Linked DNA regions of Tribolium castaneum. The protein of the gene in region 2 interacts with the protein of the main gene of each other region in a pairwise test. Links are inferred from orthologs where the notes say so. Each region holds a gene or a part of one and is shown on either strand. Other genes may lie near its edges.

Evidence for each region.
Region 1: the proteins of eEF2 (region 2) and okr interact in a two-hybrid assay, tested with the Caenorhabditis elegans proteins (2 studies listed by BioGRID). The link is inferred for Tribolium castaneum from reciprocal best matches to the Caenorhabditis elegans genes eef-2 and rad-54.L.

What each region holds. Positions count from the first base shown.
Region 1 is NC_087401.1:14,213,931-14,222,616, reverse strand, and holds the end of okr (DNA repair and recombination protein RAD54-like), read right to left. Parts: intron 6,858-8,686; coding exon 5,205-6,857; intron 3,186-5,204; coding exon 2,904-3,185; intron 2,849-2,903; coding exon 2,699-2,848; 3' UTR 2,644-2,698; downstream 1-2,643.
Region 2 is NC_087396.1:14,886,056-14,901,969, forward strand, and holds eEF2 (translation elongation factor 2), read right to left. Parts: upstream 12,350-15,914; 5' UTR 12,197-12,349; coding exon 12,194-12,196; intron 11,860-12,193; coding exon 11,645-11,859; intron 11,598-11,644; coding exon 11,404-11,597; intron 11,152-11,403; coding exon 10,943-11,151; intron 10,677-10,942; coding exon 10,417-10,676; intron 10,247-10,416; coding exon 9,603-10,246; intron 9,407-9,602; coding exon 8,724-9,406; intron 8,671-8,723; coding exon 8,413-8,670; intron 8,410-8,412; exon of another isoform or gene 8,318-8,409; intron 8,210-8,317; coding exon 8,141-8,209; 3' UTR 7,820-8,140; downstream 1-7,819. Other genes in the region: structure-specific endonuclease subunit SLX4, read right to left, coding at 1-1,792, 1,851-1,936; protein PRRC1-A, read left to right, coding at 4,982-5,063, 5,114-5,348, 5,394-5,599, 5,647-5,749, 5,801-6,131, 6,179-6,289; lysosomal proton-coupled steroid conjugate and bile acid symporter SLC46A3, read right to left, coding at 12,971-13,052, 13,106-13,346, 13,393-14,599; uncharacterized protein LOC664550, read right to left, coding at 15,021-15,160. UniProt on the Caenorhabditis elegans protein: Catalyzes the GTP-dependent ribosomal translocation step during translation elongation.

The DNA.
Region 1 (8,686 bases), on a different chromosome or scaffold from region 2:
TGGTAATTTTTCCGTTCTAGTTTAATAAAAACAGTGAAAAAACTTGATTTTTGGTCTAAAAACTCGTTTGAATCCTCAGAACTTGCAAGAATAATGACATTTTTTGACATAATTCTGTGGATTATTGGCATTTTTTTAAAGAAATTTTGCGCAATAATTGAATTTTTGCGAAATAACTGCTTAGAAAAGATAAATTTTTGGTAATTTTCGACTAAATTTGGAAATTTTTCCGTTCTGGTTTAATAAAAATAGTAATAAAAACTTGATTTTTGGTCCAAAAACTTGTTTAAATCCTCAGAACTCGCAAAAATAATGACATTTTTTGACATAATTCTGTGGTTTATTGGCATTTTTTTAAAGAAATTTTGCGCAATAATTAAGTTTTTGCGAAATAACTGCTTAAAAAAGGTAATTTTTTGGTAATTTTTCACCAAATTTTGTGATTTTCTTGTTCTAGTTTAAGAAAAACAGACAGAAAAACTTGATTTTTGGTCTAAAAACGTGTTTAAATCCTCAGAACTTGCAAAAATAATGTAATTTTTGACATAATTCTGTGATTTGTTAGCTCATTTTTTAAGAAATTTTACGCAATAATTGAGTTTTTGCTGAATAAACGCTTAGAAAAGGTAAATTTTTGGTCAATTTCGACCAAACTTGGTAATTTTTCCGTTCTAGTTTAATAAAAACAGTGAAAAAACCTGATTTTTGGTCCAAAAACTTGTTTAAATCCTCAGAACTCGCAAAAATAATGTCATTTTTGACATAATTCTGTGATATATTGGCATTTTTTTAAAGAAATTTTGCACAATAATTGAGTTTTTGCGAAATAACTGCTTAAAAAAGGTAATTTTTTGGTAATTTTTCACCAAATTTTGTGATTTTCTCGTTCTAGTTTAAGAAAAACAGACAGAAAAACTTGATTTTTGGTCTAAAAACGTGTTAAAATACTCAGAACTTGCAAAAATAATGTAATTTTTGACATAATTCTGTGATTTGTTAGCTCATTTTTTAAGAAATTTTGCGCAATAATTAAGTTTTTGCGAAATAACTGCTTAAAAAAGGTAATTTTTTGGTAATTTTTCACCAAATTTTGTGATTTTCTTGTTCTAGTTTAAGAAAAACAGACAGAAAAACTTGATTTTTGGTCTAAAAACGTGTTTAAATCCTCAGAACTTGCAAAAATAATGTAATTTTTGACATAATTCTGTGATTTGTTAGCTCATTTTTTAAGAAATTTTACGCAATAATTGAGTTTTTGCTGAATAAACGCTTAGAAAAGGTAAATTTTTGGTCAATTTCGACCAAACTTGGTAATTTTTCCGTTCTAGTTTAATAAAAACAGTGAAAAAACCTGATTTTTGGTCCAAAAACTTGTTTAAATCCTCAGAACTCGCAAAAATAATGTCATTTTTGACATAATTCTGTGATATATTGGCATTTTTTTAAAGAAATTTTGCACAATAATTGAGTTTTTGCGAAATAACTGCTTAAAAAAGGTAATTTTTTGGTAATTTTTTACCAAATTTTGTGATTTTCTCGTTCTAGTTTAAGAAAAACAGACAGAAAAACTTGATTTTTGGTCTAAAAACGTGTTAAAATACTCAGAACTTGCAAAAATAATGTAATTTTTGACATAATTCTGTGATTTGTTAGCTCATTTTTTAAGAAATTTTGCGCAATAATTAAGTTTTTGCGAAATAACTGCTTAAAAAAGGTAATTTTTTGGTAATTTTTCACCAAATTTTGTGATTTTCTTGTTCTAGTTTAAGAAAAACAGACAGAAAAACTTGATTTTTGGTCTAAAAACGTGTTTAAATCCTCAGAACTTGCAAAAATAATGTAATTTTTGACATAATTCTGTGATTTGTTAGCTCATTTTTTAAGAAATTTTACGCAATAATTGAGTTTTTGCTGAATAAACGCTTAGAAAAGGTAAATTTTTGGTCAATTTCGACCAAACTTGGTAATTTTTCCGTTCTAGTTTAATAAAAACAGTGAAAAAACCTGATTTTGGTCCAAAAACTTGTTTAAATCCTCAGAACTCGCAAAAATAATGTCATTTTTGACATAATTCTGTGATATATTGGCATTTTTTTAAAGAAATTTTGCGCAATAATTGAGTTTTTGCGAAATAACTGCTTAAAAAAGGTAATTTTTTGGTAATTTTTAACCAAATTTTGTGATTTTCTCGTTCTAGTTTAAGAAAAACAGACAGAAAAACTTGATTTTTGGTCTAAAAACGTGTTAAAATCCTCAGAACTTGCAAAAATAATGTAATTTTTGACATAATTCTGTGATTTGTTAGCTCATTTTTTAAGAAATTTTACGCAATAATTGAGTTTTTACTGAATAAACACTTAGAAAAGGTAAATTTTTGGTCAATTTCGACCAAATTTGGTAATTTTTCCGTTCTAGTTTAATAAAAACAGTGAAAAAACTTGATTTTTGGTCTAAAAACTTATTTAAATCCTCAGAATTTGCAAGAATAATGACATTTTTTGACATAATTCTGTAGTTTATTGGCATTTTTTTAAAGAAATTATATATATATATATATATATATATATATATATATATATATATATATATATATATATATATATATATATATATATATTCAGGGAGGGGATTAATAAACACCAAAATGCAAAAAAAATTTAATCCGTATTTAATATTTAACAACAGATAGAAAATACAACTATTCCGAATAATCCAAATCATCCTTATCATCGTAATCAGGATCTTCCTCCACTTCTTCTTCCTTAACTCGTTTAACTTCCTGTTTGGCTGATTTTTGATGGAACACAAAGGAAATGTATTTGGACAAATCCCATATTTGTTTAAGAACCTACAAAAACCCAACCATTCCAACACGTTCAAGGGCACTTTGATTAAAAATTTACCATATCTGCCAGCCCTTTTTTGTCCCAACAATGGTACCAATCTTGCAAATCCGACGTACAATCAGCCTCATCGGACGGATTTTTCGTTTGTATTTTACCTAAACACCGTTTACATTTGAGTTTTTCGTGTGTGTCCGAGTCCGTTTGTTCCAATTTAAACAAATCACGCAATTCGGCGACGCTAAAGTGTCGCGCCGTTTCCTCATTATTGTCAACGACAGTCGAACTCAGGGCTTTTTTATGAGCTTGTCTCTGGAAAATTTTTTCCTCAATTGTCCCCGCCTGCAAGGAACAGGAACACTCTTTGTAAAAAACAAACCTAATTTCTTTTTAGTAATTTGTGTATTTTAGGTAAAAATGCAAAAATAATTCTAAAAATTAACTACAAGTCTCAAAAGATAAAGTAAACAATTGTCCGAAGTAAGCCGTTTTCATTCAAACTGTAACATTAATTGTATTTTTTTTTCAGTTTGATTTATAAAAGATTTCACGTTTCGAAGCAAATAATCGTCGGAAACAAGCTGATTTTATCTAAATCGTCACGTAAATTATCTAAAATAGTAATCATTATAATAATAACAATAAAAATAAAAACACATTTCGGGTAAAGTTAGTAGTTTTTGGACAACTTTCATAAAATTTGTTCATTTCTAAGCAAAACTTTGTCAGAATTTAATTATTTCCTTTTAAGCCAATGCTTAGGTCGTTTTTCTGAGCACGAATAAAGTTTTTTTTGTATGTTCGGTAAGTGTTTTTTTGTTTTGAAGCAAAGGATCCTTGTTTCCGCCTAGAAAACGCCATTTTCTTGTTTTAAGGCAAGAAGATGTTCAAAATTAACTACTTTCTTAAAATCTGGTACATAATAATTTTGATTTCACTTTGGGAATTAGATCTTTAGATCCTTTATATCTTCAAGATCTTTCTCCTGGCGTTTTCAAAATTCAAAAAAAAAAATTAGATTTAGGTGACAGTTGTTTTTATAGTTTTAAAAAAAGATATTAGGTCTGAAAATAGTACAGTACAAGGTGTTTCCCGTAATTTTACGTGATAAAATGTAACGAATAATATATATACTGATACGAATATGATTATAAATTTTGAAAAAATTGGATAATCATCTCTAGTTTGTTCACCCCTTAAAAAATTGCAACGCTTTCAGTTAATTAGTGATTAAGTTAGACATATTAGAATTATATTCATTCTCTCGCTTGATAAAACACATGAAAATTCGTTTGACATCTACTGTCATGGGTAACCAAAAATTAAATAACAAAAAGTACATTTTTTTTAGCTAATGTTTTGTGATTTTTGTATATTTGGGTGCAGGACTCGTAAAACACCCTGTAAATTAAAAACAAATGATACAAATTCATTATTTGTGTTCATTGAGATTGTATATTATCCGTTCACGATTGTTTTAAATTCTCAGCAGGCGTAGATATATTTTTGTTAGGTTGGCCTCAGGTCCTGTCAGGTACTGTCTTTATGACGTTTCTTGTCAAAAATTCGCTGTTGTCAGTTCTACTGCTTATTAATTTAAAATGTCGAAAATAATTTCTGTTGATAAGAAAGCGTGTATCAAAAGATGCTTTGAAGGATGCAAGAAAGACAGACCCGACTTTTTTAACTAATGATAATGAATAGTATAATATAGTATGAATGAATACTATAATATACTATATATATATATATATATATATATATATATATATATTATTTATTTAAAAAACGAAGCAAACTGACAACAGTCCTTGGTTGTCATCAATTATAACCCAAAATTTCATATGACAACTCACAGTACTGCTAAATAAAATGTCAGATTTTCATAGATAGTCCGAATTTAAAACAATCGTGAACGGTGTATAGTTATTATAATACAAGTGAAAAAATACAAGCTTAAAGGTCGAAGGCTGTCGTTATGCAACGAGCGTATGCGAGACACCATAGACACCAAAACATAGCTAAACACCAAAAAATTTTTTTATTGGAACATTTTAATTTAAAATACATAGGAACAGACATAAATTGTATTTTTAGAAAGTGTTCCACTTAACTTCTTAAAAGTTTAAACATTTTTTTAAGAAATAAAAATCCTAATTTTTCTAGGTTTCTCAGTCTCTGTGTGTATAATAATAAGTATAAGTGGAAATTGAATTCTTTAAAACACGCGCGATTTTTCGAGCACGACGGCGTAGCCGGAGTGCTCGAAATAGACCAAGTGTAATTTTCTAACATTTTAAAGTCAACAGTGCTGTACAAAACATTTGTAGATAAAACACTACCACATAAAATTCTCCTTACCGCTAAGAACCTGTAGATATAGCACGGCTTCTGCTGCCCATCCCTCCACACCCTTGCCATAGCCTGATCATCATTCGCCGGATTCCAATCCGGATCAAACATAATCAACCGATTAGCACCAATCAAATTCAAGCCACACCCTCCCGCCTTTGAACTCAACATAAAAATAAACTCCCCCGACTCCGGATCATTAAAATTCGCCACAACTTTAGCCCTCTTCTTAATACTCATAGTTCCGTCAAGACGCACATACCGGTACCCCCTCTTCCGGCACAACTTCTCAAACAGATCCAAAGTCTGCGTATAGTTCGACACCAACACGACTTTATCATTGTAGTTGTTCTTCAAATTGGCTAGGAAACAATCAAGCAACATCAATTTTCCAGACAATTGCGGCATCACATCTTTATCATTATAATTGGGCGGGAGCAAGTGGCGCGATTTTTCGAAACCTTCCCCACCTTCAAGAATCTTATCCATGATCAAATCAGGGTGGTTGCACAACTTTTTCAGCGTTGTGATGCTGGCTAAGGCACTCAGAGAGGCTTTAACTTCAACGTCGTTCAACACGCCCTTGCGCAAACCCTCCGAGTTGATGTAATTCAAGTAGATTTGTTTTTGCAACGGGGTCAGTTGACAAATTACAATCATTTCGAACTTCACCGGGAGATATTTAGTAAGAAGGTTGGAAGTTCGCCTAATTAGGCAACGATTCACCAAATCTGATAATTCCTTAAGCCGTTCAACCGCCTTCTGTCGTTCTGAGTCCGTGGCAGTGGAGTCCTGCCCTCTCAGAATGGGGTTCTCAAACTTTTTCTTAAACTCCTGAGCACTTCCCAACAGCCCTTCATTGACAAAATGCACCAAACTGAAGTACTCTAACAAATCGTTCTGAATCGGCGTCCCGCTCAACAGAACCCTCCGCCTGGCCTTGAGCCCCATCAAGGCTTTATACGTCTGATTCTCGCAGTTTTTCAACCTGTGTCCTTCGTCACACAACACCAATCCAATCTCACTTTTGTGCAAAATCTCGGCATGCATCCGAAACGTCTCGTAGGAAATAATCAACACTGGGATTGCCGTCCGGCCGAAGCCTTGCATAAACTGGGTCAGTTTTTTCCTGGCATCGGGGCCCCCATCCATGATGAGACAGCTCAGCCTGCCTTTGAGCCACTTGTCGATCTCGTTGCTCCAGTTCCGGACCAGGGAGCTGGGGCAGACTATGATCCCCTTGTCGATGGTCGGCTTGCATTCGGGGCCCTGCCGGACCAAGGTCCACAAGAGGGTGATACACTGTAGGGTTTTTCCAAGTCCCATTTCGTCGGCCATTATGCAGCCGAACGAGTTGGGGATTTGGACGCCGGTCACACAGTCGTACATGAATTTGACGCCTTCGCGCTGATGGGGGCGCAGGATGTTGCTCAAGGACGGGTCGACAACGACGTGCACGAGGACAGGGCCGTCGCCTTTCAGTTTTTCGTGCTCGCTTTGCTCGGGGGGCGAGTAGAGGATGAGGGCGTTGGGGGTGTTGGGGTCGTATAAGGGGCGAGGGGCGACGCTGCGACGGAGGCCCAGGGTGCGGGTCGAATTGCAGCCTTGGTAGTTGGGGTCGGGGCATTTAAAGGGGGCGGAAAGTTTTTTTATGAGTTCCTCCTGAAATTTTTTATATTTCAAAAGTCACAAAACTTATAATATAATTATAATATATAATAAATATAATAATATATATACATGTATATAATATAATATATAATTATAAATATAATTATATTGAGGAATGTATAAGTGGATATTGAGGTCTTTGAAGCACGCGCGATTTTTCGAGCACGACGGCGTAGCCGGAGTGCTCGAAATAGAGCAAGAGTTTTAAAGACCAGTTATCCACGAATACTTTACGTTATTTTTTATTTTATTGGTACACTTTGAAATCATTCCATTTTAATAATGAAAATAATGTAAAATTATAAGTATAAATTAATTTATTAAACATTGACTGACTTGTTTGCACAAAAGAAAGGAAAAAAAACAGGAAAAATAATGTGCTGTTTTCTTAATAAATTTTCTGTTGATGAACAGTTTTATAGATGTGAGTTTGACGTCACATCCGCGACGTCATGTGATGTTACGCGAGCGTCGCAGTAGGCGAGAGCGAGACAGTCGGCAACGAACAGTCGCACGGGTCACATCGGGAGGCGACTTGATTTATTTAGAGCGTTACAAAATTATTGGTGCCGTTTAATTTATTTAGTTTGTTACTTGCTGTTGTTGCGTAAAATCTAATTTTTTCGGTTTAAATTTTAAATTCGGTGATCGCGGTAAGTGTGTTAGTGCCAGTGGAATGGACTTAAGAAGGAAATAATTTGAATTAAAAGGTACGCCTGCAGTGATTTATTTTTAGAAAATTAAATCAAATGTGTATTATTTTCAACTAGTAATTTAAAGGCACATCGTTCTAATTTATTATCTTGCTACAAACTGTGGCAAAAGTGCATTTTAATTTTTTAAATGGGACTTTCAGTGAAACATAAATAAAATAAAACGCTCAAATAATTTATTGGCACATTGTACTGATTTTGTCTTTAATTTCAATCGACAAAAGTCGCTTACCGTAACTTTTTTAATGCAAATAAAGCTTTTTTATCGGTTTTGTTTTTTATTTATTTATTATTGCTACAAACAGTAGCCAGCGCAGAAGCCATATGAAGGTAAGTTCATTTTTTTTCTATTTATCCTGTGTGATGTTAAATTTAATAGTTTGAGTGCCATCTATTGTAACCTATTGTGTATTCTTTATTTTGTATAATGTTGATAAAAGCCGCTTATTGTAACTTTCATGCAAATAAAGATTTTTTCATGGTGTTGTTTTTAGTTTCTTTTTAATGTCTTGCTACAAACAGTAGCCAACGCAGAAGCCATATAAAGGTAGGTCCATTTTGTTCAAGTCCAAGTGAAAAAATATTTTTTTGTTGTATTTTTCATTTCACAAACCAATATTCCTTTATTCCCTTCATTTTCTTATAATAATTGTTTACCTCATCCTTAATTCCTTTTTTCCTGGCAAGAAGGCTCTAAACCTCCATGTAGTAGTTCTTGCTGGACCAATTACTTATTAATTTGACTAATTAGAGCAATTCTTAAATATAATAAGTATTGCTCATTGTTTTTAAAACACTTCTTGTATTACTGAAAGCATATGAAATGTAGATTTGTCGAAGATGTGACGTAAAGAACAATTTATTTGATATTTAAAAGCTAAAATCTGAATATCTAGGAAGCCATGTCCACTGTAACAGCGCCCTCTGTTAAGCAAACTTCGAATTCTGAAGTTGTGGTGTCTATTCTTACGTACGTTTTTAGACAAATACGTTTCTTATAATAACTTGTCCTGTTTATCAATGTTTCGATATTTGTCCGATTCTTTAATCTAACCACATTTCAATGAAGGGAATTAGAACAAAGTTAGTTTAAATTTATTCAGGGGC
Region 2 (15,914 bases):
CAAATCGGAGAAGTTCGGACTATTTTTAAGTCCTAATCGTTCAGATAATGATAGCTCCATGTCCGGAATATCAAACTCCTCGTCATCAGAAAACTCATATTGCACCTTTTTTTCGCTAAATACGCTTGAATAATTCACTTCATCGTCGCTTATGTAGATGCTTTCTTGACTACAACTCTTTTCTGGTGAATCATCATCACTAGTACTTATTTTTTCTAATCTCCGTGGTTGTGGTGATGTTTGATCGCCGGATAATAGATTATTTACGTACTCAGTGACGTTCAAGCTTGATTCAACTGAGTCATCAGGTGCAGAACGACTCACATGGAAACTTGTAGTCTCTTCATTGTCGGACTGTGTCAGGTCAAAGCATTCCATTTCTTCTTCGTTATTTCGAGAGAGTTGATGTTCACTTTCTGATTCGAACAAATCGGGAGAAATACAATCTCGAGACCGTTTAACACCTTGATAACTCGGAGTTATCGGAGAAAGCTGAGGTGACAAGCATAATTTTGGAGAATTATATATTTGAAACGAGGAATTCACTCCCTCTTCACTCCTCCCTGAAGGACTGCTAGCATCTTTATTTGGGGAAATTACGGAGCTTATTTCGCTCGAAAACGGATTATCGTCTCCACGTTTGGAGAAGTCTTCCTCTCCAAGTTTTACAGCAGGAGATGGAAACTTTCCATAAATAATTTGGGAGGTGTTACATTCAAAATTTTTATTTTCGTTTGAACTTTCGTCAGAGTTGGTTAAATCTATTACTCGAGAGTTTCTTCTTTCCTCCCTCTTTTCAGATGCAAACAAACTGTCGTTATAAATAAAATTTGGACTTTCACACACAGATAATCTGGTCCAAGGCGACGGTTGTGGAGAATTTTCACGAAACGCGTTTTCTTCCGGTTCTAAATTTTCTTTATCACTTTGTAAATAACTTTGCGACAGTTTTGGCACATTTGATGTAATGACACGCTCGGGGGTGCGTTCACGTCCTGGAATGCTCCCCCAATCCTTCAAAAAGCGCCCACAAGATGATCCAGTGCTTGGTTCAAACCCCTGCACGTAGAATCGGCCCTCCTCGTTCAGCTCCTCTAAGGCCAAGTTGTTTATTGGGAATATTTTCCGTTTTGTCAATTTTTGAAGGAAGGCGGAGAACAATTTAAGCGTTTCTTGTGCTTTAGGCAAACGAGTTCGTTCATTCTGGGCCAAAATGAGTGAAACTTTTGACGAAATTAGTGATTCTCGTTCCTCGCTAGTTCGAATTTTGAGTATTGGGGTTACATGTCTATAGCGCGATTTTTTACTCTTTTTAGCTGGGTCTAGTCGTTCTTTCTTTTCTTGTACTGAAACCCTGCTTTTGTTATACCCAAAGCCAAATTTCTCAAACGCGCCTCTAAAGGAATCGATTTTTTCTTGTGAGCTGAGGGTTTGACCGGGATTTTCTGCGGCGTAGGTGGACTCAGAGAGAGCTAAAGCCATCTGGAGGTGGTCCGGATTGACGTCAACATGCTTGAAATTGTCCTCAACAAATTTTGTAAGGGGCACTTGTGTTTTCTTGCGTTTTTTAACGTTTTTACACGGGGGTTTCGCGTTCGCTATCTTTGACACTTTGTTGATCGCTTTAGGAGTCTCAAAATCGGCTAAATTACCCGCGGAGTCATCGAGTTTCACTTCACTTAAACAGTTTTTGTAAGGAGAATCTGAGAAACTACCTGAACTCTCAGAGCCCTCGGCATTGTCTTTAGTGATTTTGGCGAAATATTTCGAAATCTTCCCCGTTTTAGTGGCGCTAATGAAACGACAAAAATGATTAAACAACTTTATTACAGTATGTACACTACACTAACCTACGCTTTACAGGTTTAGATGTCTGGCTTTGTGTGGAATTTTGTGTACCACGGCTGCGGCTTCGTTTTGTCCGTGTAGAGCTCATCTTCTTTTGCGTCTTCTCTGGCCTTCAAGGCACTAAACAGTTCCAAATAGCCCCCTTTGGTTACGAGGCTAGTGGCCATAAAGCGTCGCCGGGTTTCAGGGCTATCGTCAAACTTGCCCTCAAGGTAACTTTTTTTGAGCTTTTGGGCTTCGGGCCACAGTCTACGAATTATGACCGGAAAAATGATTTTACTTCAAACTGACATCTTACTCGAAAAGTAGCCAGAACAGGCCCCCAACTGCTATAACTCCACCCGCGTAGTAATTCCTCTGTACGTAAAAAGGGGTCCCTTTGGTTCTACGAGGCTTCCTGAGTGATTCGTCAATGTTTCGGTTTGCCATAGCAAAGAAAAAAAGTATAAATGTGGGTCAACTCATAACCTCAAACCTGGAAGTTTTGCTTTGATTGCCACACACCCACGGTGGCGCTAGTGTAATAAGGAGATCCGGTCCAATGTACAATTTTATTTAAATTTTTCTTACATAATGGAAGCAGTACAATATTCGATAATTCATGCATCACTTGTACACAATGCCAATAGGGACCTAAATTACCTTAACTTGCACTAGACTTGAACAAGAATCAAGCTTCAAAAACTGAGCATATTCTTATCACAATGTAGGGTATAATATTCATGTTTCACACAAAGCACATAACAAATATAATTCTTTAGGCGATTTTTACATAACAAAGGAGCTATATTTTAACGTAGCGCTGTAAATACACAAGGGCTACAAAGTAACATAAATAGATTCAACAATAGGGTTATAAACTACAAATATTTGATTATGTGTAAATGACAGAAATAAAAAAGGGACGAACTTGGAGACTCCTCGTGCTAAATAAGTTCAAAAATTGTATATTACACATTAAACTTCTGGAAATCTCCAATAGGAATGTCTGTTCTGCTATTCTTTGCAGATATCCTCTAGTCAAGCAATCGCTTTGGCTTGCGGCAAGAAGGCTTCCCAGTACTTAACGAGCTGAAACACCACATCAGTCTAGAGTTTTTTACCCTTACTACAGTCAAACCTGGGCTTGGTGATTGAGGTGGTTTTCAAAATACTTTATAAACATAATTTTAAAGTCGTGAATGCGACACTTTTCAAACCTCTCCACTTCCGTTTTGATCATTTTCGAGATCTTATCAAAATTCTCTTGGCCACGTTCGACTTTGGCTTCCCACTATAGTGACATTAGTAAAGTTTACAACAGATAGTGCTGGTGCCACTCACCTCTATCACTTCAGCGCCAGCTTGGTCGACCTTGTCTGTCCTGTTTGTGAGCTCCATCTTAGCCTTGGCTTCCCTTTTCTTGGCCAACATTTGTTGCGAGTGTTGCCAATGTTGGAAAAGCTTTGTTCTTTCATGAAAGGCGTCACGAACAGCCCCGAGAAGCCCTAAATAATCCTTCAGTAACTCACAGAGAATGAAGAAATCCGTGTTGGCCTGTTCCAAATGCAATGCTTCAACTTTTTCCTCAGTATCGGCCAAATTGGACAGCGCCATTGAGAGCGAGTTGTGGTCCTCACAAGCGCTCAACATCGCCGCAGACCGTGAAACGCCGTTAGTCAAGTGACTCAGTTCCTTTCTGTAAGCCACCATCGCCTCAACATTGGTATGCAATTTCCTCAGCTGAGTCTCCAGAGCCTCAATGTGAGCCAACTTATCCTCAAACCACTGAAATTTGATTGGTTACTAACTCCCACCAACTCGTGATTGGCTTACTGGATCAGTCTCATCCATCTTGTAGGTGATTTTGTTCACAGTCTCGCCAACCTTATTGAAGAGCCTCATAACACCGGCGCTACTCAAGGCAGACGTGCTTGTGGCCTTCGGCAGCTCAATATCTAACGAAATGGGAATGTGAGGGGGAAAAACAGCCAGCTCTACCAACCTGACTCCAGAAACTCCCTAAAGTCGGGGTCCAGTACCAGGACAGGGTGTTGGGCAGTGCGTTTTAGGTAACGCTCCAAGGACGCGCGCCTGCGTTCGACAAAGTCGTTTCCGTTCGAAGGACTGCCCTCCGCTTGACTGGAGATCTTGATTTTGGTCATGCCAATGACACTCTTTTCAGGCGCTGGCGGTATGATCCTCCCGACCTTGAGGTACTTCTCTGATAATTTGTCGTGGAGGCCCAGAAAGTCGCTGAAACGCCTCGTCACCGAAAATTCGCGTTTTTTAAATATCGGCATGTTGGTTTTTGTTGTGACCCGGTAAGCCATATAAGCGCTCATGCCGTCACCCACTTTTTGGGGCTCCGTGATGGATATTTCCAAAAATTGATCGCCGCCTGCAGCCTCGACCTGTAGTTTTCACAATGCGAATAAAAATTTATCAGTTGTGTGAAAAAATACTTGTTCCATGGTGTCTGGCAATGTTCCACTATTGTTGATTGGGACAGTCTCCAGTTCGGGTTTCTGGTCGTCCAGGGAGAGGTTGGTGAGGTCGGCGTCGCCGTTGAGGCCTTCCTGGGGCTCATCTTTGTACGGTTCGGCCTGCTCCTGTGGCAAGTGGGGGGTTATCAAGCGATATATCAAATTACAAGCCGTGTACCTGTCTGGCTGACACGAAGAGATCTTCGTCTTCTTTTCGGTCGGAAAGGATGTCCACGTTTTCAAATAAAGGGGGCGGCTCCACAGGGTCTGCCATTTTATTTCAAAAGGCGATAAAATTAATTATTTGACGCGGCCGGTCTGTTAAATTGACAAACGTCAATCAAAAAAATTAATGGCAATAGGGAATGCCAACCTAATTATTCACCAGGTGCTAACGACGATTTTTCGCTTTAAAGTGCTTGGAAATATTTACTTAATGATGACTAAGGATGGAACCTCAGGCGAGGGTTTTGTAAAGCAAACTTTACTTTTATTTTCGTAAACAAATCTCGCGTAAAACAAATAAAACGTTCACGTAGCTAACTTCACACGTAGCGGAAAAATCCCTAGTTGTGCCACGATTACGTTTACGTACACAAACCAAATTCTCTGTTATTCTACGATGTGATCATATGTTTACAATAATCAATCAGTAAAAAGTAAATAAAATGTTACAAGAGGACTCAAACGGCGAAGCCTCATTTGAAATAATCGACAAGAAGCAGGACGATGCCTCGAATGACAAGACAGGTGACACGTTTGTAACCTAAAATCGCCCCAATTTTATTAAATGATTCCAGAATCTCTGAGTAGCGTGTCATCTCCGTACTCGATACCTTCCCCAGGGGGTGTCGCTCTGCCGGGTGGAAATTTGCTCTCGAATTTACCACCTCCGACAAATCTCCCTGATTTCACACTGTGGCAGTCTCAAGCAATCCCAGCACCTACCCCTTTACCTCCAAACATCGCGCCTGCGGCTACACAAGCGGCCCCCGCACCGGTTAACGTCCAACCGTTCCCCCAAACCCAGTTTAGGTAAATTTGACTCAAGGTTTCAAATTATCTGCAACTAACTTGCAGTGCTGCCATACCGCCGAGTAAAGGTGTTCAACATGGACCAGTTCCCCAAACTAGTGCAGACGCAGGACAGGGGGGCGGGGGACTGATAGGCTGGATGAAAGATGCAGTCTCCAGCGGTGGCATATTATCAAAGGTTGCGGAAAAGGCGAAAAACTCCGTAGATTCACTCATCACAACCCTAGACCCACAAATGTCGGAGTTCATTTGTAAGAATCTCCGCGTTTTTCACTCATTTATTGTGTTGATTTATTAGATTCTGGAGGGGACGTGGAGCTTGCTGTTGTATCGCAAGACCCGGACGAAGTCGCCCCCATTCGTGAGGCAATTTTTTCAGTATTTGGTAAAGCTTGGGTGAAGTAATTTCTTCACAAAGTATGTTTCTCGTGTAATTGATTAAATTTTTCAAGTGGGATTAGCGTTAAAGTTGATGAAAGGAAACACCAAGCTGTAGGTTTTGAAGAAGGGATTAAGAGGGCGGAAGAAAAGCTAAAAGCGGCGTTAAACTCGAGTCAAGTTCCAACAATTGCTATTGAGAATATTCTTTTACAACAAAACGATGAATGGTTTGACTTAAGCGTCTTAGTTTTGAAAGATGTGGAGAAAAAGATTTTGCTTAAAACATATACTCAAACGACACCAATTCCGCTTGATTCTTTTGTGAAGTTGGCCGAAAAAGAAATGCCCAGCTATGCGAAAGGGTGCGATTCAACCGAAAAACTACTAGCGGCGTATTTACAAGTGAGTTGAGTTGTTTTGTTTGTAATTCGTTAGAAAATCTGTTTTAGGTTTGTAAAAATAATTGGCAACAGGGGGTGAGTGGGGTTGCTAGAAAAGAAACCCTATTTCTAGCAGCGAGGACACTTGTTACTTTGTATAAAAACAAAATCACTAATTAAATATCGTACTTACTGGAATATAAAATTAATGATATAACTGTTGCATTTTATTCTAGATTTTATTTAATGTTCAAAATTCATTTTATCAATATAGGCTTTAATAAATAATTGTAGTATTGTTTGGGATTCGTTAACAGTAAAAAGCATTCCTTGTTTTACGTTTTTATTCAAATTTTTTTAATTACAGAAATATATGAAGAATATTTACCTCAAGAACCTGCAACAAAGAAAAAGTTGCTTTTGAAACAGTTAACAAAAAATTAAAAAAAATAAATAAATGAATAATCAGACAAACCAATCAGTCACCGGTTTCAGACTGGGGCGGTAAATTAATCATCACACAATAATTAAAAAAGAAGTAAGCAAATAATGCAATTTTACTCACCAGCTTATAAAAATCCAAGCCAAGGCACCCTCACCGTTACTTATCTGCAAAAAATAAACCGAAATAGTGAAAAAAATTTAAAAAATTTTAACTACTGAATGTGTGTTGCTTTTAATACAACTAAAGAACAAAAATAAATATATATTAATGTTTGTACTATTTAACAAATCAGAAAAACCAATCAGTCACCGATTTCAGACTGGGGCGGTAAATTAATCATCACACAATAATTAAAAAAAAATAAGCAAATAATGCAATTTTACTCACCAGCTTATAAAAATCCAAGCCAAGGCACCCTCACCGTTACTTATCTGCAAAAAATAAACCTAAATAGTGAAAAAAATTTAAAAAATTTTAAAACTACTGAATGTGTGTTGCTTTTAATACAACTAAAGAACAAAAATAAATACATATTAATGTTTGTACTATTTAACAAATCAGAAAAACCAATCAGTCACCGATTTCAGACTGGGGCGGTAAGTAAATCATCACGTTACGTTTAAAAAAAAATTAAAACAATGATTAAATTGTGAAACTCACCACCATCTAATGAATTCCAAGTAGGGCGCCTTGTTTCAAATTACCTGTAAAAGTAGACACAAATAAAGAAAAGCTTTTTTTTGAATGAAATGTATCTAATCTTCCTTTGGTTAGACAGACGAATTGCTGAATAACCATACACATGAAAAGAATTAATGTTCCCACAACGAGCACACCTCTTCATTTTAAGACATGAAACGGCCGGCTTAAATGTGTGGGGTGTGTGTAACAATTACTATTTACTTAAAAATTAAAAATCTTACCTTAATAGCTAGCAAATAATAGCACTGCCAAATGAGCCCCAGGTTGTGAACTGCAACAAAACAAAAATGGTTTAAACACAAAATAAATTTCGACAATTTTCTTGTTTTATGAAAATAACTTCAGACCTGTTGAGCTTAAAATTTTACATCCATCACGGTATTATGGCGTAAAAAAATCATCATCTAAATATTGATAATTTAAGTCAAATATTAAAAAGAAACTCACCTAAAACGTGTCGGAGAAGCCCCATCGCAAACTGACCTAACGTTACTGCAACAAACTTTATTACAAATATTTGGACTCTTACCCCACCTAACCTACTGAAAATGAAATTCTACAAATAAAAACTCCTCCTTTATTCTCAACTCCGTATGTTAAAACAAATTGCTTATAATTAATCAGTTCAACTAGCTTAAATAAAAATGCACTGGTAACAATAAAAACCCTTGTCTTATTCTTGGACACAATTTACTTGAAAATAAGTTGTCATAAATAATGTGGATTAAAATACAACCAATGCGTTGGGAAGCAAAAAACAAAGTTACAACTGATCCATGTATTTTCACCCTGCCAGTATATAAAAAAAATTATAATTATCAATTGCTTTATTGTATAATTTAAGATGAATCTTAAATAATCTGTACATAACTAAAACCACCTCTTTATAGTTTGTCCAAGTATTGTGAAAGATCGGGTAGACCTTCTTTGAGACCTTTCCTCTTACGTGTTTCCTGCAAAAACAAAAAATAATTACAACCATGCCAAGCGCAACGTTTGGGATTGACCATTAGAATGTCAGCCCCCCTATTCAGGCCAGGAATTTTACTTCAAGACCGAAACTAAAAGACTATTGATCTCCCATCAAAAGCAAACTCGTGGACATTTAAAACAATCCAGAGTTGTCTGAAGATGGGTCAAAATCGCCTACACTCACCTGTACAACAGTGTATGGTCTCGAGCTGGTTTCAAGCGGATCTCCGGGGAGAATTTGCCAATGGTCGAACACGCATTGTGGGAAAGCTTGTCCACCGGTGTTGGAGCGGAGATCGGCGGTAAAACCGAACGACTCGTTTACAGGCAAGTAGGCTTTCACCACGAACATAGGAGTACCAGCTACTTGTTGTTCCTCAAAGACGTGGCCACGTCTTCTGTTCAACACACCGTAGATACCACCGACGGCGACTTCAGGACACTATAAAAAAATCATTATTATTGTTACTAATTTAAAGTGCTTAATCTTTGTACCTGAATCTCACACTGGTACACTGGCTCCATAAGCCTTGGCCCAGCTGTCAAAAGACAAGCATACAAGCAACGACGAGTGGTTGGGATAATTTGACCACCTCCACGATGGATAGCATCAGCATGGAGAGTAACATCATAGATGTTAAACCTGACGCCTCTCAAGTTTTCTTCAGACAAAACACCTTCTTTCGTAGCCCATTGGAACCCAGCGACTACCGAATCCTTGATTTCATTCAAATATTGCACTCCCTTCGTACAATCGACCAAGATGTTGGGGCCGGTGCCGTCGGGACCGAAGCACCAGATCTTCCTAGCTTCCGTCACATCGTATTCATACTTTTCGCCCAAGTAACGGGCACGTGATTTGAAATCGTCACGTGGGTTGACTTTTCCATCGTCAATATCTTCAGCCAAACCTTCAGGCATTGGTACGGCCTTCATGAACAGACGGTTGTGCTTGTTTGGCGATTTGGATAAGCACATTTGGTTCGATTCTTCAACGACGGTTTCACGGTATGACACGACAGGGTCGGACTTCTTGATTGGAATGCAGGCGTGGTCTTCTTCAAGATCTTTAAGACAGATTTCCAAGTGGAGTTCGCCAGCACCAGCGATGATGTGCTCGCCGGATTCCTCGATGATACATTGGACCATAGGGTCGGATTTAGCAAGACGTTTGAGACCTAAAAAAAAAAAACCAACACTTTGTAACTTCTTGACATTACGTATGAACAAAATTCTCTCCAACAAATTGGTTGTGTGTTAGTAGTCAGTTGGCCGTTCTTTTGTCGTCAAAGTGATCAGAACAGGTCTGTGAGAACAATCATCATTGAAGGAACCTTGCTTTGATATTTGTAACTATTAAAAAATAAAACATACCTTCGACCAATTTGGGCAAATCAGCTGGATTTTTGGGTTCGACAGCGACACGTACGACCGGCGATACGCTGAACTTCATAACTCTCAAGTTGTGGGCATCCTTGAAGGTCGTGATGGTGCCAGTTTTGACCAAGAATTGATCAACACCGACCAAACCGCAGATGTTTCCTGATGGCACGTCTTCAATGGCCTCGACGTTACGTCCCATCATGAGAATAGTACGCTGAATGGCTTTCTCGTATAAATCTTCCTTCTTGCCGGGAGTGTAGTTGGGTCCCATGATACGTGCCTTCATTCCTGTGGCGACTTTACCGGAGAAGACGCGACCGAAAGCATAGAAACGTCCCTTATCAGAGGTGGGTACCATTTTCGAGACGTACATCATAAGAGGAGCATTGGGATCGCAATTCTTGATACCGATGGCGGCTTCATCGTCATGGGGACCTTCATACAACATTTCCATTCTGTACTTCTGGGCAGTTACGGGTGATGGGAGATGGATGGCAATCATCTGGAGGAGAGCCTCGCCAGCGGGCAACCAGGTGCGCATCACAACCTTGAGGAGAGGCTTGCCGTCTTTGTCCTTGTCTTCGTGTTTCAACTGGATACCAAGTTTGGGGAACAGAGCTTCGTATTCTTCTTTCCTGTAACATGAATAAACAACATTGGCCACAATTCAAAATTACACAAAACTTTTTAAAGATTAATTAAGGTCAGTTGGCCGTTCTTTTGTCGTCAACCAGATCAGAACAGGTCTGTGAGAACAATCATCCTTCATGTCCAGTAAATTAAATCAATTAATAAGATTATTCACCTGTAGTTCATGATGCTGTCAAAGATTTTGTAGATGGGGTCCAAGATGTACATACAGAAGGAGCGTTTGTTGTCGGCTTCCTTCTGTTTGGCCCACTTCTTGGTTTTGGGGTTGAAGAAGTTCTCACCCCACAATCTGTTCATTAGTTTCACAACGTCAATCTTGAATTTTTCAGAGTACATTTCAGCGAACTGTTTGAGGGTAAAAGCCCATCCGTGGAGACCTGAACCGAAACCAACGGAACCTTTGCTAGGATCGACCTATAAAAAAGAAATTTCATAAAAAAAATGACACAAAAAATTAATTTCAATGTTCCACATCAGGAAACTGCTTTAAATATTTTTAATCTAAAGCAGGGCAAATAGTGGACCTTATCTGCGAGTTTCTTCATGGTTCTAGTCAATTAAAAATTAATTAGACCTCCCGAATTAACTCGCGATATGCGTTTAATTCAGAAAAACAACCATTGCATAATTTCATTTTTTTTTTCAACTAACTTCTAATCGTTAAATTACTAAAAACTTACATGAATGTTACCCATTGGGCCATTATCATCAGCGTAAGTGGCGATAATGACGTTCACGTTTTCAACAATACGCTGGAAAGTTTGGTAGAGTTCCTCTGAGTCCAACTGCAGCTCCAACAAAGCTCTGTCCATCTTGTTCATGAATAAAATAGGCTTGATACGTTCGGCAATAGCCTGCCTAAGTACGGTTTCGGTTTGTACACATACACCTAAAACGCCACGTTTCCCAATTAAAAACCGAGAATTTCCAATTTCTCATAAATAAAATGTACAACTCATGCCGTAGCGTGCCACAACCGGACATAAAGATAGAGGTCCTGTGGCAGCGTTTAAACACATGTTGAAATTAATCTCCTTCCATTGCACTGCCAACATCGTCGTTGAGCGTTGGTTGCAAGCAGCCAATGCTCTATGAAGTGGCTCTTGTTGTGCTGGAAGCGACACTTCTTACAAAAACTTACCAGAAACGCAATCAACGACGACAAGGGCGCCATCAGTGACGCGAAGAGCGGCTGTGACTTCTGATGAGAAGTCGACGTGTCCGGGAGAGTCAATCAGATTGATCAAGAAACCTTTTTCTTCCTTCTCACGCTGTTCAGGGTTGGTAATAAAGACGAGATCCCTGTCTTCAAGTTCGAAGTACATGGAGATGGCACTAAAATAAGGAATCAGCCATCTGGCAACGAGGGTTGGGGCACTTACGTAGACTTGATGGTGATGCACCTATCTTGTTCATCCTTTCTCGTGTCAGTAAACCTCGTTTCTCCCGCCTTGGCCCCGGCAATGATACCAGCTTTGGACACAAGGGAGTCGGTCAGAGTTGATTTGCCGTGGTCCACGTGAGCAATGACGGACATGTTACGGATATTCCGCTTCTTGTCCATCACAGCACGGATCTCGTCAACAGTGAAGTTCACCTAAGGGGGCCACATAACATTAACAGATGTCCGGTTAAGATCCAACATGTGTTGACACTTGACGTCCCCTTTTCTCCACATTTCCACCGTTAAATGATCAAATAATCCCAGCTTTGGTTCGTTTTTATTAATTACAAGCGGGCAACGAAGCCGAAAAACACTTATTAGTAAACATAAATACCGGATAGAGTGTACTTTCATCTTATTGTGCAATCTGAACAAATCCGTTAAAAATCACTAAAATAACGCTAAGCCACCGAAATAAATAATCCACGGCGTGGAGAGAGGCTGGGGCAATCGTTTAACGTTAATAAAATCCACAAAAAGGGCTTACCATGTTGGATGTTTCTTGATTTTGTTAACACACACAAAAATACGATACGCCAGTAATGGCGCACTCCCGTGAAAGGACGATTGACGTGAAGTGGGCTAAGAACTGCCACGCAGCTGCATCTTCACGGTATTGCCAACGTGGAAAAAGTCACTAGTTTTTGTCGCCTTGGTGAAAAGTAAAAAGCGGGTTGATAAAAAAACGGTTTTATTTCTTTATACAGTTATGTTTCCCGTTTTCTGCCTTTAACTTGAATGCGGAGCCCGGCACAGGCGTTTCGGTGAGTTTCTATCCGATCAGGGAAAAATTTGCGGCCACATTTTCCACATTCGACCAGTTCAGCCAAGTGGTTGTCCCATATCCTGTGGAAGGTGCCCGCGAAATCCACATCACCAGTGGCTGGAAGAGAAAAAGCTTTCATTTGGAGATATGCCATAAGAAATATTGTTTCCAATTTTTTAATAGACTTTAAGCATTCTCTGCTTTACGCACTGAAAACTTGAAAAACCAGAAAGCCCTGTTTTTGGAAACATATTTAACGGAGGGATTAAATTTAAACCTCAGTTAAAACATAGCAACGCCAATCAGATACGCAGTACCTTAGCAACTAACAGAGAGATAAAATTTAACTAATTAACTAATTTAAGTTTAATCGTACCGGAAACCGGGCCTTAATCGTTTGGCAACGCGTTTTCATAATTTCTCTATGTTATTATTTAACAATTAGTGTGAAATATAAAAAGCAGTTTTTGTAACAAAACAGATTTATTTACATTCTTATCATTTAGGTAACAAACTGGCTTTTTGTGGCTTCTCCTTCGCCTCCTCTTGTTGATCTTTCTGATGCTCTCGGTATAACCAACTGTAACAAATTCGTATCAACCTTAAGCTTTCCCCATTTTCGTGAAACTTTACTAGAATATTACGATCGCAGGCGCAGTTAAAGCCCCTCCAAGTAGAAAGAAGGAGCCTGGTAGGACCTTAATTGTGGTTTCATAGACTATATTATACATGGGCCCATAAACAAGGGGCATTAAAGCTTCAGAAACTCCAAACAAAGAGTTAATTTTGCCCAATTCTTCCGGAGGTACTAACTTTGATATAATTGATCTCATGGCGATGAAAGAAGTACCGTTTAAAGCCTCGATTATCGCTCCTGCAATAATCGTTTGGTTGTGGGAGAGGGTCATTTGAGAACTTACCAAGATAAAAAATTGTACTTGTGGGTGCGAAAGCGTATACGAGGGAAGCGGCGATTTTACTCGTGCTTGAAATCATTCCAAGGACGGCATCATCGACTTTGAGGAATTTGCTGAAGAACATTAAAGAGAAAACAGTTCCACAGACGTGGATGACAAATTGGAAGGTTGAGTACAAGCTGTAGTCAATTTCGTTCCATTTGAACCTATGTCGGACAAACAGATACATGACTTGCATTTCGCCATGCATGGGTCCGATTATGACCATAACAAGGATCATGATGGTGCAAATGCGGCGCTTCCGGTTACGTGGGCCGTCTTTAAAAGCCACGTTCAGGGTTTCCTTGATATGTTTCAAATTGAAGAAGTCCAAAACTGGGTTCACTTTCTTCACGTTTTTATCCACAATCACCTCCTCGTTCTTCGGCATATCTTTGACATAGACGATGGCGTAAATCAACGCTGTCGTATACATGGCTATGGCTAGAGAGAACACTCCGTAGAACCCGATCTCGTTGTAGAGAATACCACTGAGGGCTATCCCAACAGTCACACTGACGTTGGAGAAAAGATTAACAGCACCGATTCGTAGAGTCCTAGTTTCCACAGAAGAAATTCTGCTAACATAACTGAACACCGCCATGAACATCGCGAACCAGCCCCCGGTTAAAGCAGGCGGAACGGCTTCGAAGAAAGCATTGAATTCCATCGGCAATTGGTAAAAGAAATACGTCGACAGGAGAAAGCCAGTACATGTGCAAATTTCACCCAAAATCGGGAGGATGATGCAAGGTTTGCGTCGTTGGTGGCGGTCGCTCCACGACCCCAAAAACAGGAGTAAGAGCGATGGGACTAAGCTCTGGATCATGCTTTTCCAAGTATTCATTGAAGTGATCAGTGTTTGGGTTACGATTTCGTCGCTTTCGTTATAACCAGATCGGTTTCGGATGCTTAAAGCGTCGCAAATGTCTTCGTCCATTTGCAAGTTTACACGACATGCCTTTTCGAGACTGAGGTTTTGTGTGGCGATGCTTGCCATCACACTTGGAAGGACGTAACATATTAGGACTGGTTCGACGGTGATGTTGGTGAAGATGAGTTTGATTTTCTTGCACAAGGAGATGTTTTTTGGCTTGGAATCCGGAGGGTCCTCTTCGGTTAGGATGGTCTGAAGACCGGCTTCGATGCTTTTGGATTTTTCCAAAGCCATTTTTCTTCGTATTGGTCGCGAGTTCACTTACCGATAACGCAGTCACAATACAACACGGCGGCAAATATTTATCTGATCTTTGGTGGGTATTACATTTTTGAAAGTTCTGGTGTGAAAACAAGGAGACGGGCGAGGAATGAACCAGAGGAACTCTTATCGAGGGTATTCAATTAGATTTAGTATCAACTGTTTACTGATCTGTGTGACACTTGAAGATGCATTGTGTTTCACTTAAATTTATCTCTTGTACTTTGTTTAATTAAAAGAAATTAAATAAAGTCGCAAACAGGGGTTTTCAAGGATTAACAGAACATGAATAGCAATTTTGGCTGCGAGTTATCTTAATGATTTGGCAAATACTCAGTAATAAAAGCCAGGAAACTTGTTATTATTTATTGGAAAAAATACAATCACACTTGAATTAACCCTTGCAGCTCCTCTCGTGCACTTCCACCCTGTCTGGGTTGAAAGTCCTGGAGCAGAATTGACAAGGAACCAACTGACTTAAGTGACTCTGCCACTTGGCTTCGTTCGTCGCTTCGTAATCTATTTTACCATCTTCTGCAAACAGCGATAAAACCCAAACTTCAGTTTATTGTAAATCAAAAAATCGTGGACAAATACACAGACACAAAACATTTGTGGATGGATTAACATGAAGGTCACTAACCCCTCTCCAAATAGAAAACGTGTGCAATCATTTTTAACGTTTAAAATGAACTTGTGAATTATTTAGGGGTGGGAGGGTGGTTTGCTGACCGCGACGCGGTCGAGGCCAACAACCTCTATCGATTATTTTTTACCTTCACATTATTGTCTAAGACGTACACACGTGCATATACGAAAGCCATATTTTTCTACAAGGAAGTGGTGGATAAGATCGAGCTACAGGTGGGGTGAACGAACTGATTTGCAAAGTTGGGCTACCCCTCCCAGAAATCAATCAACGACGTACGATTCCGCCTCCAAGGACTATTTGATTTTAGATGCAGATTAAATTTTCATAATGGAATTGTTTAAATTACTCTAAGCTCCATTCACGTCATAGAAAGCTGTCTTAAAATAGAAAATTGTAAACTGCAGACGACTTATTTCGTGTTGACGGTATTGACATTCAATATTGTGATGCATGTTTTATGAACTAGGCGTGTGACAGTGAATATTACATTGGTTTTTGACGTCACCAGAACAGTCGTTTTATAGATTTAAGCTAAAACAATTCTTATGTGATATGTAGGTTATCGATGTAAATTTTTTATCTTGTAGCCAAACAAAACAAGATTTTTTTATTTTTAACATGATCTCTAGATCTATG